Linked DNA regions of Stegostoma tigrinum. The protein of the gene in region 1 interacts with the protein of each later gene in a pairwise test. Links are inferred from orthologs where the notes say so. Each region holds a gene or a part of one and is shown in the gene's direction. Other genes may lie near its edges. The genes, in order: probable E3 ubiquitin-protein ligase MID2, enkd1 and phostensin-like.

Region 1 (5,924 bases):
ACAAACACGCACCTTAAAGACAAAAGCTTTGGTCACCCCTATCTTGTTTCCAATACTTTAATGATGAACTTGCAAACATCTGTTTACATGATTGTAGACTTCCAGGCAGGTCAGGAATGCTCGAGATTGACAATCATTACAAATTCACCCCGACATCTAATCTTTGCTATCTCTTTCAGGCAGTCGTGAGATTCTGAGCCTTCCACCTGCCTATATCCTTGGTAATTTCAGCCCTAGATATACAGAAGACCACTTAGCTGTGTGCAGCAAGATATCTGTTATTGTTTATCTGAGTTAATGAGTTGCATTTGAATGTATTTACATCGGGATTTAGAAAATATAATTTTGCAAGTAGCATATGGCCCTGCATATTATCACCATTTAGGGTGTTTTAAACCCCATACTTTAAAATAACAATAAATCTTTACATTGGCCCCCTTCTCCAATTTCCCCAGCTACTCCCCACTGTCCACTCCCTCTGCTTCACAGCCAATGAATTAACTCATAAGTGCACAACACGAATTAGAGCTGACAGAGGGATAGAGGGCAAGTGCCCAGATTTAACGGCTAGCCTGTACCAACCGAGTTGATCCTACGTGAGGTACTTCAATCAGCACCACTGACCACCAGAAGAGAAACATTCCCACAACAATGTGCAGCTAAGTATGAGAGTAGATATCAGGTCAATGTGCGGCAAATTTGATTGATACTTGTATTGGAAATGGGCCATGTCTGAATGATCAAGCTACAGAAATGATGTAGAACTGTACCTAAATAGAAATCATTTTATTTCTCTCTTTTGTAACATGCCTTTCACGATCTTAAGAAGTCTCGTTGCAATTTACAGACTCGAAGCGCTTTCAATGTATAAACATGGCTATAATTTCGAAGATTGAGCATCCAGCTCTCTCGTAATCAAGATCACATTGGATCAATGTTTGGATAACAAAGTGTGGGGCTGGATGAGGGCCTAGGCCCCAAACATCAGCTTTTGTGCTCCTAAGCTGCTGGTTGGCCTGCTGTGTTCATCCAGCCCCACACTTTGGATTCTCCAGCATTTGCAGTTCCCATTATCTCTGATCACAATGTTTGGGTAATCTGTCTTCTGCTTGGTGACGTTTCAGATAAGTGGGAAGAATTGTCCTCTTCTTTGAAGTAAAACAATTTTTGGGGATCTTTTACATCCACCTGAGAGGGGACGCAGAGTCTCTGATAGCACCAAATAATTTGCAAGACAATACGTCTGACACAACAGAACTCCCTCACCACTTCGGTGAAGTGCTAGCCCACATTATGTGCTCATGTTTCCTCTAAGGGCTTTGAGCCCATGCACTTTTTACTCTGCAGTGAGAGTACCAGTCACAGTAAGTGAACAAGGGCAACATGATCTGGAAAGAGAAATATACATTTAAAACATTAACTTATTAAATCGAAAAAAACTTCCATCCCCATTCGAGCATCACACCACTACAGCCGATTGCTTAAGGCAGTAGAACCTCCTTTTCAGAAAAAAAATTGATTGCAAACAATTTAAGAATTGATTTCCTCTGAGACCATTAAAATGGATGCTTTGTGACCATATATAGCAGCAAGAGAATACCATTGTTTTTTTTCCACAAGCCAGAATGTTTCCAGACAGTTAGATTAATAACACAAAGAATGTTGGTGCTTCCGACAGAGCTCGAATTAGGAAAAGGCAATCAGTGAGAAGGGTGGGAGGATATCCGTGGTCCAGCCAACTGCAATGAAGCAGCATTTTAATTGATCCCAGCTGCTCGTGAGAGGAAAATCATTCTAGCAGCTTTAAATCACGTGTCCCCAAGGAAATGATTCACTGAATCTCTGCTCCTGCCTTGCTATTTGATGATAGGGTTGGGAATGGGGTGGGTGATACATTGAAGCTGAATGAGCATAGTTTGTAAATCTTTGTGAAGAGAGACCGGAACATAGCAAAGGAACTGAACTTCGTTCGCGTTACTGCTAGGAGGCAGCTGACGGGAAAACGATACTGGGAGGGAGTGATTAACACAGATCCTTGGTGAGGAGCGTGCACGCTGACAGATAAAGGTAAGTGGTTTTTTCTTATTAACATAAAGTAAATAACGGAGAAAACTACACCTACCAGTGAGAGAATTGCAGTAGAATGCTGTTTCGGTGATGAAATTATTATTGTGTGCCTAGCTTAAATTCAAATGTCTTGTAAAACGCTTTTTGACGGCAGGTTGCTAAGGGCATATGCAAATATTACTTATGCACTTCTTCAGCCTGGGGTTCTCGAATGGAAAAAATGAGCACTTTTTTTTTTAAAAGACTGGAATTTGATAGTGAGTCAATGTTAGGATTTCTCTTTTTCAGCACCAGTGAAAGAATTATCAAATGAGACAGGATGTTTTGAAGGACAAGTTGGATTTCTCACTTCAACAGCACGGTATTAGTTACAGATCCGTATGGTTGACTGACTTTCTGTATGTTACTAAGTAGTACAAAGACACTTGGGCTGGCAAATCGTGTATCCACAGTTTTGAGTTTTTTTTAAAAATCACCGTTTTTATAGAAAGGGAAGGTAATAATTGAATTTTAATATTGCAAAAGAACTGGTGTGCTTCAGAAATTGCATGTTAGGCTTTCTTATTTTGCTTTTTTTTGTCTCTACTCCATGCCTCTCGAAGGCTTGTTTTAAAGCTCAATGCTGTATGTGCAAGATGTTCTAGTCCTGAGCTGCTACTTAGCAGAGTTGTTTTTCTGTAGCTACATAATGGCTTGAGTGGCAGCAGGGGTTAATATGACTACTTATTACTCAGGGCTGGAAATGCTATGTTGACCCAAGAAAACATAGCCTTGTAGCCAGCCAATAAGCTGGGAAGTTAGATAAATCCACTATCAATCATTGGAGTGGATTGGACACAGTCACAACATTCTTCTTTTTTTCCTTTCCTCTCCTTCTTCTCTTCCTTTCTCTTCTCCCCTGCCCCCCCCCCCCCCCCCCCCCCCCACAATTGAACAATCTTTAAGGCTTGTGCTTAAATGTCTATGTGAAAGACTGCTTTCTTTCACAGAGGGGGAAAAAGCATAGATATAAAAAAACTGCAGGAAATATGAGGTTTGGTTGACCATTTGGCCCTTCAAACCTGCTGGCTCTTGGCTGATCAACCTCAACTGTTTCCCTTCTATTCCAAATATCCCTTAAGCGGTGCCCACACTGTGTAGCATTGAATATATTCAATAATTTTGTGCAAACAGTGCAGCTGAGAATTCCAAGTATTCATTACCCTCCTGACGGAGGCAATTTATGCTCTTGGCACTGCTAAATCTGCCTGTTTTTCTGAGACTGTCCTTCCAGTTAAATGCATTAAGCTATGAACTTACCTTGTCAAACACTTGAAGAATTTTCTCATTTAAAACCCACCCTGCATAGTACTTAATTTGCTATCCCTGAGATTTCCTGTAAATGGTCATTCCAACTGAAAGATGGGTGTGAGGAGCATTTGTCCCCAAGTAAAAGTCCTACTGTAGAAGATGTAACAAATAATACATCCTCTGTTTTCCATCCCAATGTAGGAAGTGCGGAAGTTACTCTTTTGGGAGGTGGGAATCCTGGTGGTGATGACTTTTGTAACTGAGGGTTGCTGTCCATTGTTAGTGGTGAGATGCATGTGTAACTGCAATGGGATAGAGATGATGGTTGCTCTTGCCCTTGTGGACCATATGTGTTTATTGATGTTGATATTTCTGGATGTCCCTTATGACACAGGACATGGCCACTGAGCCAGGTTGGCTCAGTCCATTGGCGTGGCCTCGTTTGGCAGTCAAAGGAGGAGACATTTCTGGATTGCACTTGTGTGCACTGGAATGCAACTGAATTTTAAATATGGGACCAGAGGTCAATCCTTTGTATTGCTCACCATTTCACTTCTCCCTGTTTTAGTTGCATAATTAGGTTGAAAAAGTGAAAACTGCTTCAAAGAATTTGCTCTGGAATGTGACAGAACACATGTCATGGAACTCACCACAATATTGTAGCTACCAATGAAGTTTCAGCCTAAAGAATGAATGGGGTTGGGAGTTTCTACTGAAAGAGAAGAATGGTCAATAGTATGGTTTTTCTGCAGGGGGTGGGGGCTGCAGATGCAGGACAAGATAAAACCCTTTAGTGTTTTTGAGGTCCTGATCTATGGCACTTTGCCTGGACAAATGATGGAATGGGCACTTAATTTGGAGTTAAAATGGCTGGCCATTCATAATTGAGTAAATGCATGTTGGCACTTCAAAAAAGCATGAACAAAACCATCTTGTGGAATTTAGATTTAGCTAAAATTGTTTTATTTCAATAAAGCCTTGCATGTTAACACAGTGAGTAAATGGGGGTGGTGATCTGCCCAAACTTGGAATATGAGGCTTCCTCCATTCATTCAAATCCTGATCTCTTTCTGCACACTGCTTCATTTCTGAAGCACGTACAGAGGAAAGGATGGAAACTAACAAGTGTCACCTTCTAGAACTAGTGAGGTGGTAGAAGCACAGTATGTCAGTCAAGGGCAGAGTGAATCCTAGGACAAAAGCCTCATCTTTCCCTTTCTGTTCAAGAGGAACAAGATAATTTAATCACTTATCACAAACCTTATCCTGTGTATTTATGTCTGCTGTCAGCTTTTCTGTAGTCTGAAAGCCAATGACCACTTCACTCTATCTTGGATCATAGAATCTCTACAGTGTGGAAACAGACCATACCTCCCTCTGAGGAGCACCCACCCAGAACCACCACCCGCTTCCTTCCCTACCTTCTCAAATGAGAATCAAAGGTTCCTATAGAAAGTTGGTTCAATGCCTAAGAGCTAGGGAAGACATTGCTTGGGCCCCTTGCTGAGATGCTTCCACCATAGACTGCCACTTGTGAGGTGCTGGAAGATTTGGATGTTGGCAATTGTGGTGCCATTCATCAAAGCAAGTGAGGAAGGAAAAAGAACTAGGACTCATGAGACTGACGTCAGTGGCAGGCAAGATGTCTTTCTAACTTGATTGTTACTTCAAAAAGGCTCAGGATTGAGTGCAGAGTGGTGGATATTGTCTATATGGACTTCAGAAAGGTGTCTACAGTTCTGCCTGGTAGACCAATTAACAAGTTTCACCTGGAATACCAGGAGAACTAGCTACTAGGCAATAAAATTGCCCATATGGTGGTGGTAGATGGTTGTTTTTCAGACTAGTAACACGTGACCAGTAATGTTGCATGGATTGGTGTTGAGTCTGCTGCTTTGGCCATTTTTAAGTGTATAAAAATGACTGGATGTGAATTTAGGAAGTCATATTAGTAAATTTGTCAAAAATGGACATTGAAGAAGGTTACCTTAAGTACAAAAAGTTGGAAAAGCTCAGCAAGTCAAGTGGCAGCACCTGAAAGAATACAGTTAACGTTTTAGATCAGGTGACTCCTCAAAACTGGTAGTAGTAGTTACGAAAATGTCCACTTTCCTTGCAGAAAATGGGGAAGTAGGTCAGGTAGGGAGTAAACCACCCAGAGAAATGGTTGGACAGATAAAGGAGTTGATCAGGCTGGGAGGGCGAATAGGTGTTAATGGGGACTCAGTGATTTAAGGGATCTGTAATGGCAGGCTGTGTGGTAACAAGGTCTAGTGTGTGGGGTGGTGGGCTGGGAAATAGAGGTTAGGCCCTAAAAGTATGCACTCCGTATTGAGTCTAGAGGGCTGTAGGCTCCCCAAGTGGAAAGAGGTGTTCCTCCAGCTTGCGTGTGCTCTGATGGAATACTGTAGCTCACCAGGGAACAGGGTGGTGTTAAAGTGGCAGGCAGCAGGTAGTTCAGGGTCTCTATGAGCAGAACACCTATGCTTTGTTTCTACAGTGTAGAGGAGACCACATGAGCAGCAAATGCGATGGGAGTACAATGGGGATTTCCTCAGATGGCGTTC
Region 2 (5,924 bases), on another chromosome or scaffold:
AGTTTGGAGTGTTGTAGGCTTGCTGATGAGTAAAAGACCTGCTTTACTTCTGCTGTTAGCATCCTTGTGTCTCATCATGGATCTTTTACATTCAATACAGTGTTGTATGAATTCAGACTATCATTCTCCTTTATCATTGTGAATTTCTGTCTGTAATGTTCTGATGCATTGATGCCCAGGGTAAACGCATCATTCCTCTAATGTGAATGCATCTTCTGAATTATTGTTACTACCTCTCTGTTCTAAGGTGCTGCCTTCAGCATCAGTGCTGCTACAAGACACGAGTAGGAGAAGGTTGCAATCCAATGATCCATTACAGATGGAGCTGCATTGATGGGATCGTGGAGTGTCCTTCAAGTAAGCTTAACTGAATGAGATTTATGTATGTTCAGAACACTAACAAGGGGAAGTGTAGGGCCATAAATAAAGCAGATGCTAGGCACTTACAAATTCCTTAAATGAATGACACCTAACATTAGGGTTACTAGGGGAAGAGGGCAGTCTACAGCATATATTGTAGCTCCCCTGGAAGGAAAATGTCTATTCTGAGGAAAGAAAGAAAGAATTCTATTTCTTTACAATCTTCCAAAACTTCAGGAAGCCTTAAATGCTAATTTTTGAATTGTAGTCACCACTATAGTGTTGGGAAATATGGTGGCCAATTTGTGCACAGCAACCTCTTACGAACAACAATATGATAACTGACCAGATTTGCTATTAGTTGACGGATAAATGTTGGACTGTCACCAGGGAGAACACCCTGATTTCCCTCAGCATAGTACCATGAGATCTTTTACATGGGACCTTTCTCTGAGGGGGTAATGGTGCCTTGGTTGAATATCTCATCCGAATATTGGCACATTTGGTAATCCTGCACTTAAGGCAGTATAACATTTTATCAAAGCTGATAGTACTCTGACAGTGATAATGGGAACTGCAGATGCTGGAGAATCCAAGATAATAAATTGTGAGGCTGGATAAACACAGCAGGCCCAGCAGCATCACCTGCTGTGTTCATCCAGCCTCACAATTTATTATCTTGTACTCTGACAGTGCTCCCTCAGTACTAAATCTCTAGCAGTACAGTATTCTCCCATTGCGTCTCTAGCAATGCAGGGCTTCATGAGTAATGCCCTTCAGTACTGTGGCACAGGGAATGTCAGTGCGTCATTAATATTTTGGCAGAGAGTCTTTGATTCAACAGTTTATTTGAAAGGGTGGAGGAATGGGTTTCTTATTGATCATGTTTGGACCGCTATCATAGAAGTGCAAACAACATATTTGTATAGCACCATTGATTTGAAAATGACATGTCTCAATGTATCTGACAAAACTATTATTAAATAAAATGAGTCACCAAATCACACAAGGTGAAATTAGATTAGAGGAACAAAAGATTTGCTGAAGAATTTGTTTTTAAGGAGTGCCTAAAAGGAGGAGACTGAGTTAGAGTTGTGAAGAGGCAGTGGATGTGATCTTTCTTTGAAAAACAAAGGCTTGTTTAATTACAAAAAATACTGCACTGGAATCTGAAACTGTAAAGAATGAGTTTGTCTCACTTACAGTTTATTGTATTCATAACATAGTGTATGATCTTTTCTGTGTTGGAACCATGAAACTTCTCAATATGACCCTACCTATAATGCATTGCTGATCTGGGGGAAAATAGCTAATTTAGAAAATTAGCTATTTCTAGAACCTCTTTTTTTAACAAAAATATTTTTGTTGAATTCCACTCTCTGATGGCCATCTCTGAACAGTTTTTCCTTACCATTCAGGACCCAAGGCAAACTTGTGCCACATAGCCAGGTGCACATGTGACTACTATCTGGCCCTCTGTCTGCTCCCATTCCCAGTTTGGGAGAAGTACAAGAATCACCCATTGAAACATTGTTCCAAAGATATACAGTGTTTTTAACCACCTAAAGAGGAATGGAAACAAAAATAAAGACTTTCAGAATGTTAATTCTATTTCTGTGTGCAGTCTGTCATCTGCTAATCTGTCTGCGTGTTTGACATGACAATGAGGAGTTGTTAACGGATCAATTCAAAATGGAGAAGAACATAATGAATGAACAGCGTGTCTCCTACTCTGTCTAAGTCTGATGCGACCTTTTACAAACGATGTTTCTGTGTGACATGCTTCACAGTGTAAGGATCCAAGTGGGCACAGTGGTGGGGAAGTGAGCAGGTGAGATACATCAACTGGTAAAATAAATTAAGTGGTTAAAAAACGGTCAACCCATGGATGATGCACAGCCTGCCTTAGCATTGTCTTAACTCACGATCATTCAATAATATTATGAATGACTCCCTGACCTTACAATCTATTGTATAGCGCCTAGACAACTAGTCTTGCTTAGCCTCCATGATGAATATAACTTCTGAGTGTGATGAGAAATGAATAATTGGGCTTGGGAGTATTCTGCATTTTAAAAGCCTGCCGAAAATGCCTTTTTCCTCAGTCTCCAGGGTCAAGAAAGTGTCTGCCTTTGGAGAACATGAAGAATAACATGAGGTGAAACTAAAAGAGTGTCTGATGCATAGTGAGCATTTCCCTGTCACTCACGGTGAGACTCCATGAGTATTAATTATCCCTATAATACTGTACGCTGATATGCACAATGAAACTTGATACAACACCCTGATGTTGACACTAAAACCAAATACTATATGCTAATATTCCCAGTGAGATTCTGTATTAGATCACGAATATCCCATAGAAACTCAATGGATATGTCATGCATTTTGACAGTCAAAGACAGAAGTAGCCAATGTTACAAAGCATGAATTATGGCAGGACGACGTGAAGGACGCGGTTGCCGTGGTGACGGAGGTGACGCAATGACGTTGCGTATGCGTGTATTCAAAGTGGCGTACGCATGCCCGGGGACGGTTGGAAAGTTGGAAGGTGAGCCTGTGGCTGTTGCGCTTTTTGGTTGTATTCCCAGCTGCGGTGGTCCTGATTGTGAATCCTTAAGGGCTTACATTGGAGGTCTCTGACTGATGCCAGCCTGTATTCCGTTCCTCCCCAAGCAAATGGGAGTCCTAACCAGACTACTGCTGATTGCAACTTGTCTCGCCAGTGATACACTGGATTCTGACCATAGTAGGCTCTGCCCACACTGCAAAAGTGTTTTCCAGCCCAATAACTCCAGCATTGATTCCCACAAGGAACCAAGATGGGAACAGGTTTTAGTCCCAGCAATCAAACAGGGTTAGAAGAGTGGGTTGTTGAACTGTGTTGGCCAAGGCTCCTTATAAGGGTCAAATGACCCTTTAGCCTACCCATCGGTTCTACCTTAACCACTATGCTTACCACTGCAAAAACGCTCGTTAGAATTAATGGGAAGAATTAAACTGCTTCTGATGAGATGCTAATGAGTAGATATGCAGGACCATGCTAAATAGCTGCATTCCTCTTGTCATTTAGCCCCACAAATGTTGAAAATCCAATTTCTTGGTGACATAAATTGTACTTGTTGTGTGCACTTGTGACATTTTGTGTTATGTGCATGGGAGTGGTCTGGTTGCCTGATGTTGCATGAGTGATGGAGATGAAAGTTTAGCCTGTTGCCTTGTGTGACCCCATGCATTGTGTTGCATTTTCAACTAGTTGGTGGATGAAAGATCCTTGTGGACAACCACTGGTGTGGGGGCCATCCTTTGACAACCACTGTCCTGTAAGGGTTTTCTGAGAAGGAATGATATGATCAAATCACAGTAAACTTCAGTGTGGTGCAGATTATCTAGGCCTTTGGATTAGGCAAAGTCACTTTAGCAGGTAAAGAGTGGTATGTTGTTTAAAGTAGATTGGGAAATTACATAAATATATTAACACATAAGTAATGACAAATGTGTAAGAATTATTTTCTCCCAATGAATGTACAGTTCTTCAAGGAATAAAACACCACTGGAAAACACTCCCATTTATGGCACAATAATAAAGTTAATATAGTGCTGTCTTAGATTCAAAGAAGCAGCTTGCAATGTTACCAAAAAGGATGGTGTGAGCCAGAGGATTTTAAAAATCAGGAAAACCTGACCAAAAATGTGGTAGAGGATGAAAATAGAATGGGAGAAAGCCATCAAGGAAACAGCTTGTAAAAGCTTTTCTAAGAATGCTAGAAGAGATCAGTGGAAGTAAAATTGATGTAATTGAGGCAAAGACGGGAGAAATTACAATGAAAGTAACAATATGTTAAAGAAATATTTTCTGTACCTGACTTCATAATGGATGCCATAAGAGGAATAATCAAAATATTTGGAAACCTAAGGTTTAATTAGTGTAAAGAACTAAATTAGTTTAAAATAGTAAAGACATCATAGGGTTTAAAAAGAGGAGCTGCAAAATTATTAGAAGTGTTGGTTTTGATTTTCCAATATTATTAGATTTTAGCACTGGCCCTGTGGACTGGGGAGTAGCAAATATGACTCTGCTATTCAGGAAGGGAATGAGAGAGAAAACTTAAAATTAAAAGCAAATTAGGTGCGTTAGCTGTCTCTACAGATTATTCCACTGATGCTCTAGATCCAGAGACAAATCAAAAAAGGCAACTAACTCAAAGATTAAGAGTTAAGGAGAATCAAAGGATTTGAGTGTGATGTTCATGTGCACAGATCAAAACTAGTCAACAGGTTTTACAAGTAATCCAACAAGATTAATGAAATCTTTATCTAAAGTTAGCATAGTGAGGAACAGATCCTTTAGTTGTAAAGAGCTCACTCAAAGTATTGTATTCAGTTTTGGGCCCTGTGCCGCAGGTGAGATTTAAGCTATAAGACATGTCGAATTACCTAGAATTTACAGTGAAGTTTTTTTTTCAGGTTCACATTGACATTTCTACTCCACATGCCCTTCCTCCCACCTGTCACCCTAGCAGTGTGACTTCCTGTTCCTTTCTCCGTCATACATGCATCTGTCTTTCTCTGAAATATATCTATCCTATTCACCTTAATCATTTCATGCAATCTCAAATTTCACTTTTCTGAGCATAAATGTTTTTCTTGAATCTTTAATTGAATTTATATTAATAACAAGATGGTAGGTCCAATAACATTGCTACAGGGAATATATTATGTCTGCTGGGGAACCAAAAAGGGACGATCTTAAAATTATAGCATTTAGACAGGAAATCAGGATATATGGTTTTGTATGAAGCGTTGAATAAATCTTCAATTCTTTCTTCTAAAAGGTAACACTGGAGATCAATCAAGATTTTCAACACAGAAATTGGAATTTTCTTTTGTAAGCCAGGGTTTTTGAGTGCCAGGAAACAAACAGGAAAATGAATTGAGTCACAGATCAGACATGATCTAATTAAATGGTAGAACAGGCTTGAGGGACTAACTGGCTGCCTCCTATTCCTATGTTCCTCCTTTTTCACTTAAACTATTTAGACATAGCTGTTTCTGTATTGTTAGGTAACCAAGATGTCCGAGGGTCCCTCCAAGATATCTGGTCCCATTCCACCAGACCCAACACTATTCCCAGATTTCTACAAGCGTCCGCTGTCAGGTGAGGCTTTACCTGTTTTCCAGTGAAGTGCTTCCATCTTCCTTTTACGTTGTTGGTTGAATTTCCTATTCTCATCTGGGATGAAACAAAGTTGAAAGAAGTGTTTCTGCATGCAATGATCCTTGCGCTTTTGCTCATTCTGTGCACTGGAAATCTATGCGTGGATTAAGGAAGTCTGAAAGAACAAAATGAAGAAAAATGTCTTTACCTTGTTACTTCACAAGCAGAATTGTTGTGCAGACGCAGTATACTCCTAGAAACTTGGGAAAATAACAAGTTGGAATCTAACTGAAAGTTTCAAGGCTTGTTATATTTACAATAATTGGACATCCTATTAATACTAGGATGAAATTCAGTCGAGAATAGGCGCAAGTAATGGGTGACTGCAGATTCATATTCAGTAATT
Region 3 (5,924 bases), on another chromosome or scaffold:
TAGCGAAGCTCAGCGCAAGCTCAAAAAAAAATCTCTCTTTCTGCTTGGGGACCCGGCAGCCTCTAGGGCTCAACGTCAAATTAAATAAGTTTAGAGCCTGATTCCAGCCTTCCATTTTTTAACCCACTGCCAGACCCAGTCCTGTGACAGCATGGGTTTCTTTTAGCCCGGTCACCCATTCTCACGTAATCCTAGGCCCATGGTTAGAGACATAAAATACTGCAGATGCTGGAATCCAAGGTAGACAAACAGGACGCTGGAAGAATACAGCAGGCCAGGCAGCATCTGCAGGTGAGCAGCAATCGGGTACACTTCTCAATAGAGCTCTCCTGTGTTCTCACTCTTTGATTGCATGATCTCTTATTCAGCTTTTTTTCTGTCCTGGCCAGCTATCTGTTATCTTCTTGTTTACATTTCTCTGTCATATCTTTCTCCATCTCTCTGACCTCCATCTATACCTATACACTCACCTCCGCTCTCCCCCACACTTTGGTTCCAGCATAAATACCAGTTTCCCCCAGCTACTTGCAGTTCAGATGCAACTCAAAATGTGCTTCCGTCCCACAAATGCTTACATATGCTTGTTCTGCCAGTCACTTCAAATCTGTGCCCTGTCTTTCTTGATCTCTTTTTACAAATCGTACAGTTTCTCTCTGTCAACGCTGTCCAGCCCCTGCATGATTTTGAACAATTCTATCGGATCTCCTCTAAGCCTTCTCATTCTACAGGAGGACAGTCCTGATCTCCCCATTCTATCTCTCCCTCTATATTCTCCCTCACTGTATCTTCTCTCTCCTCTCCTGCTCGCTAACTCCCTCTTCCTATTCCTTTCTCTAAATTCTCTCTGTGCCTCTCTCTGTCTCTTTTCCCCACCTCCCTTTGCCTGCTCCCTTGACCCTTTCTCTAACTCCTTCTTCCCATTCCACTTTCTCTTTCCTCTCTGTCTGTAACTCTCTCTACTCCCTTTCTCAATTCCCTGTCTCTCTGTTCACTGTCTCTCATTATTTCCTCTTTCTATTTACTCTTGCTCCATTCACTCTGTCACTCCCGCCTCTCTATCCCTCCTCTCCTGTTCTCTATCTCCATCTTTCTATTCCTCCTCTCTCTATTCCCCTCCCTTCCTAGTCTACATGCTCCCCCTCTCTATTTTCATTTGCTGTCTCTCTCTCTACACCTCATTTTTCTCTCGGTCAGGTCTCACTTTATTCTGTCTTCCTTCTCGGCCTTTCTTTATTACACTCCCATTCCCTCAACCCTCTCTCTCTCTCCCCACCTCCTTTCTCTCTCTCTCTCTCTCTCCACCTCCAACCCTCTGTTCCCCACTCACTCTCTCCCCCAACCCTCTATCCCCCCACTCACTCTCTCCCCCCACACACTCCTCACCCCACTCACTCCCTCTCCTTCCCCCCTTTATCTCCCTATCACCCCACCCCCTTTCTCTGTCTCCCACTCCCTCACCCTGTCTTCCCCCAACCCCCCTCTCTCTCCCACCCAGCCCCCTTCTCTCTCTCCAACCCTCCCCTTCCCCCCTTCCCCCTTTCTCTCTTCCCCCCTTCCCCCTTTCTCTCTTCCCCAACCCCTCTCTCCCATCCCACCTTGTTCTCACTCTCTTCCACCCACTGTCTCCCTTCACCCTTCCTCTCCCCCCTTCTCTCTCTCTCCCCCACGACCCTCTCTCTAATCTACAAGTCTCTCCCTGTTCCCACCCTCTGCAGTCATTTACTTTCTGTCTCCATTCCTCGTTTTATTTTATTCTCTCTCCATTCAGTCTCACTTTATTTTCTCTGCCTTCGCGCTCTCTCTACCTCTCTGTCCATTCACCCCTAGTCCCAGCCCCACACTCTCTCTCCCTCCCCCGTCTCTCTCTCTCTCTCTCTCTCTCTCTGTTTCCTGCCCTCTCCCGGATGCTCTCTCTCTCTCTCGAACACACACACACTCAGTCACCGTGAGCAGCAGCGGGTTCCCAGTCCCGGGGAGATTACGGGATCCCCCGTCGGACCCCACCACCGCAGGCAGCTTCAAATCCCGAGCGAGAGCTCGCCAGCGGGGAGAGTCCCCCCCCCGCGCCCCGGGATCCGCAGCCTCCGGGCGGTCAGGAACACCCACCCCGAGCCGCTCCTTTTGTTCGGGAAGCCGGGGCGGCACCCAGGACCCAGCACTGTCCCGGGACAGCGGAGTGTCTGACCCGGGAGACATCACCATCGCCTTCCCTCCCGCCTGGAATCGACCCCATGGGAGCACAGAGACAGAGATTTATCCCAGGATAGACTGTCATCCCCGGGACGGAGGTAGGGATAGACAGGAGGCCGTATCCCGAGAACAGAGAGCGCGACTTATTCCCAGGATCGAGAGAAAGGCTTATCCCTGACAGAGAGATTTATCTTGGGACAGACCGTGGAGTTTCCCTGTCAAAGGATTTATCCCGGTACGGACAGAAGGAGTTCCCTGATCCAGAGAGAAGGAGGGATCTATCCTGGGGCAGATGGGGACCTGAGCGTTCCCATGAGGTGCGCAGGGGTACCTGACCATGGCTTCGGTGGGTGAACTGCTGGCTGTGTGCTCCCAAGGGTCGGAGTGTCAGGGTCTGAGGGTATGGAATGTGAGGGTCTGATAGTGAGAGTCCGAGCGTTGGGTATTGAGTGAGGGTCTGAGTGTTGGGTATTGAGTGAGGTCTGAGTGTTGGGTATTGAGTGACGGTTTGATTGTGAGGGTCTGAGTGTTGGGTATTGAGTGACGGTCTGATTGTGAGGGTCTGAGTGTTGGGTATTGAGTGAGGTCTCAGTGTTGGGTATTGAGTGAGGGTCTGATTGTGAGTGTCTGAGTGCTGGGTATTGAGTGAGGATCTGACTGTTGGGTATTGAGTGAGGGTCTGAGTGTTGGGTATTGAGTGACGGTTTGATTGTGAGGGTCTGAGTGTTGGGTATTGATTGAGGTCTGAGTGTTGGGTATTGAGTGAGGGTCTGATTGTGAGTGTCTGAGTGTTGGGTATTGAGTGAGGGTCTGAGTGTTGGGTATTGAGTGAGGGTCTGAGTGTTGGGTATTGAATGAGGGTCTGATTGTGAGTGTCTGAGTGTTGGGCATTGAGTGTGAGGGTCTGAGTGTTGGGTATTGAGTGTGAGGGTCTGAGTGTTAGGTATTGTGAGGGTCTGAGTGTTGGGTATTGAGTGAGAGTCTGAGTGTTGGGTATTGAGTGAGGGTCTGATTGTGAGTGTCTGAGTGTTGGGTATTGAGTGTGAGGGTCTGAGTGTTGGGTATTGAGTGTGCGAGTTGAGTATTGAGTGTGTGTTTTGAGTGTCTGTAATGTCTCAGGGTGAAAGATTTGGTGTTTGGCCATAGATCTGGATCTTGCTCTGTCCCATATGGCATTGTCTGAAGGTCACCATCTTTGAGACCCCGTCGATTTCCCAGTGAGACAGGGTGACCCAGGGGTGAAGTCAGTCGTGGGTGGGTGGAGCAGGTTTTAGTGACCAGAACTGGGGCAGGCTTGACCCCTTCACTTTCCACCAGTGACTGGGCTGAAACTCCACAATGACGTCTCCTCCTCAGTGGAAGGTTCAGCTGCTGGAGAGGAAGAGAAGGGATGAGGAAGAGGAAAGGCGCAAGGAGAAGGAAGAACAGGAGAGGCTGGCCAGAATTCCGGCCTGGAAGAGGGAGATCATCGAGAGGAGGCGGGCCAGGCTGTGCCCTGGGTCATCGTCTTTGGAAATACAGGCCGAGGGTCAGGCTGGGTCTAGCCCGATGGGCTCTGCAGCCAAGGCTGGGACTGATGGGACAGAGCCTGAGGCCTGCGTTGCCACGGCGACAGACAGCGTGGTGCTGCGGGAGAACATTGGGCCCCTGCGCCAGAATCACTTTATCCAGCGGGAGAAGCAGAGGAAGGGAGGTTCGGAGCTGGAGCAGGCCCCTCTGGGTGTCCCAGGGACCGAGATGATCTGTCACACCCCAGGGGTGACCATCATACAGGCAGACGACATCACCATCATTGAATCCGGGCCCAGGCTCCCGGGCACCAGTGAGAAGCTGCCGAGTGTGAATGGCCTGGCCGGCCAGCAGGGGGCATGTCGGCCTGACCTCCGTTCCCCCTTGAGCAGGAGTGTGGAGGATCTGAACTCCTTTGGGAAGTGCCGAGCGGAGTTGGGAGAGGAGGGCCCCAAACGTGGGCGGGTCAGCCGGCTACTGTGCAGGTTCGGCCAGCAGGGGCGCACCTGGGCGACCAGAGATGGCGGGGTGGGGGAGGAGACAAAGGCTCTTGCGGCACGGCCTTCTCGCTCCCGCAGCACCGAGAACATCCTGGAGCGCCCGGGACGCTCAGGGGCATCCTCTGGCCCACCGAGGAGCCCTCACGCCCCGCGCCAAGGACGCAGGCCCCAGTCCCGCTCTCCCCCCACCACCTCCCCTCCGCGCACGGTCTCCACCTCCCGCAGCCGCTTCGAGGCCTGGTTGGCGACAGAGACACCCAGCCGAGCCGCCAATGAGGAGGAGGCCCAGCCCGCTAGGCCAGGGTCCCAGGGGATGGTTGGGGAGGGAGGACGAGGAGGGGGAGGAGGAAGAGGGGGAGGAGGACGCCTCAGGCCTGGTTGTTTGGGCAGCGGGAGGTGGGATCCAGATCCAGGCCCCGGCATAGTGAGGGACGGCAAGGCTGAACCCAGGGAGGCCCAGGCTCTGGTTGATGGCCAGGCTGCACCCTCCAAGCAGCAGCAGGGGGAGGAGGAGGAGGAGGAGGCCAAAGCCTCCGTCCTCCTCCCCGACCCACCCTCCCCCAACGATGTAAACACTCTCGGCTCCTCCAGGCCACAGCAGCCTGTCAATGTGGCTTCCTCTTCCTGTGCAGAGCAGGCCCCTACAGCTTCCTGCCTTCCTGCTGTTGCTACTGCTGGTGCGGCAACAGACCAGAGACGCACTGGGGATCCTGGACCACAGGGTGGGACGCCTGAGCTAGGCCTGGACAGGGCCCCCTTCACCGAGCCCGGGCCAGATCCAGACACCAGTCAGGGGGGGCCCAGCAGCAACATGAGCGGGCCGCAGCCTCCCACTGTGGGCCCCCGGGAAACCAGGCTTCCGGCCTTCCCTGTCCGAGCCAGCTATGGAGGAGGGGGTGGGGGAGTGGTCGCCCGGGAGACAGAGGGCGCAAGTGACGGAGGGCGGGGGCGGCAGGGTACCCTGTCGTCCACGCCCTCAAGGCCAGGCCCCGAGGCGGTGTTGGAGGATGGCGAGGGGAGGCAGCGGCCTACCTTCTCTCCCGGCCCCCAGCGCAAGTCAGGGAGAACCATCACCATCAACCCCCGCAAGATGGCAGCCAACAAGACCCCGTCTCCTGGCAACGCCGCGACAACAGAGAACGGCATCTTGGGGACGCCACCCCCCGCTGGCTTGCCCGCGGCCCCGGCAAAGAAACGGTACCCGACGGCCGAGGAGATCCAGGTGATCGGTGGCTACCTGACGCTGCAGAGGTCCTGCCTGGTCAAGTCTGGCGTGAGCCGAGGGAAGGTAGGAGGCATACCCCGGGGTTGGGGGGGGTAGGGACAGTGAATCAGGCAATGGGGCACGCCGGGAAGGTGGACGCTGGAGGAGGGCGGAGGTAGGGATAATGTGAGGGGTACGTTCATCAAGGGGTTTAAGCTGTAAAGACTCCATAAGCTTGATGTGTCAGCACAGGGAAAACTGTTCCTCACCATCACTGTTCCATCACTTGTCTTTCTCTCCCTTCCTCCTTCCTGTCTCTCTCATCTGTGCATGTGTGTGAATGAATGTGTTTGTATGTGTGTGTGTGTGAGACAGTGAATGCACTTGTGTACCTGTGTGTGAGAGAATGTGTGTAGATGTGAGTGAATATGCGTACGTGTGTGTGAGAGAGAGAGAGAGAGAGAATGTATTTGCACCACTGTCTCTACCTTGCCATCTTTCCCTTTCTTCCCCACCCTTTC

Evidence for each region.
Region 2: the proteins of probable E3 ubiquitin-protein ligase MID2 (region 1) and enkd1 interact in binary tests that used the Homo sapiens proteins (3 or more experiments, as listed by UniProt). The link is inferred for Stegostoma tigrinum from reciprocal best matches to the Homo sapiens genes MID2 and ENKD1.
Region 3: the proteins of probable E3 ubiquitin-protein ligase MID2 (region 1) and phostensin-like interact in binary tests that used the Homo sapiens proteins (3 or more experiments, as listed by UniProt). The two-hybrid records come from large-scale screens. The link is inferred for Stegostoma tigrinum from reciprocal best matches to the Homo sapiens genes MID2 and PPP1R18.

Annotation. Positions count from the first base shown.
Region 1 is NC_081368.1:43,278,525-43,284,448, forward strand, and holds the start of probable E3 ubiquitin-protein ligase MID2, read left to right. Parts: upstream 1-1,973; 5' UTR 1,974-2,067; intron 2,068-5,924. UniProt on the Homo sapiens protein: E3 ubiquitin ligase that plays a role in microtubule stabilization. Mediates the 'Lys-48'-linked polyubiquitination of LRRK2 to drive its localization to microtubules and its proteasomal degradation in neurons.
Region 2 is NC_081393.1:16,157,128-16,163,051, forward strand, and holds the start of enkd1 (enkurin domain-containing protein 1), read left to right. Parts: upstream 1-2,863; 5' UTR 2,864-2,911; intron 2,912-5,424; 5' UTR 5,425-5,433; coding exon 5,434-5,518; intron 5,519-5,924. UniProt on the Homo sapiens protein: Microtubule-binding protein which regulates microtubule organization and stability. Promotes the stability of astral microtubules and facilitates the proper orientation of the mitotic spindle.
Region 3 is NC_081387.1:14,387,839-14,393,762, reverse strand, and holds the start of phostensin-like, read left to right. Parts: upstream 1-1,636; 5' UTR 1,637-3,528; coding exon 3,529-5,487; intron 5,488-5,924.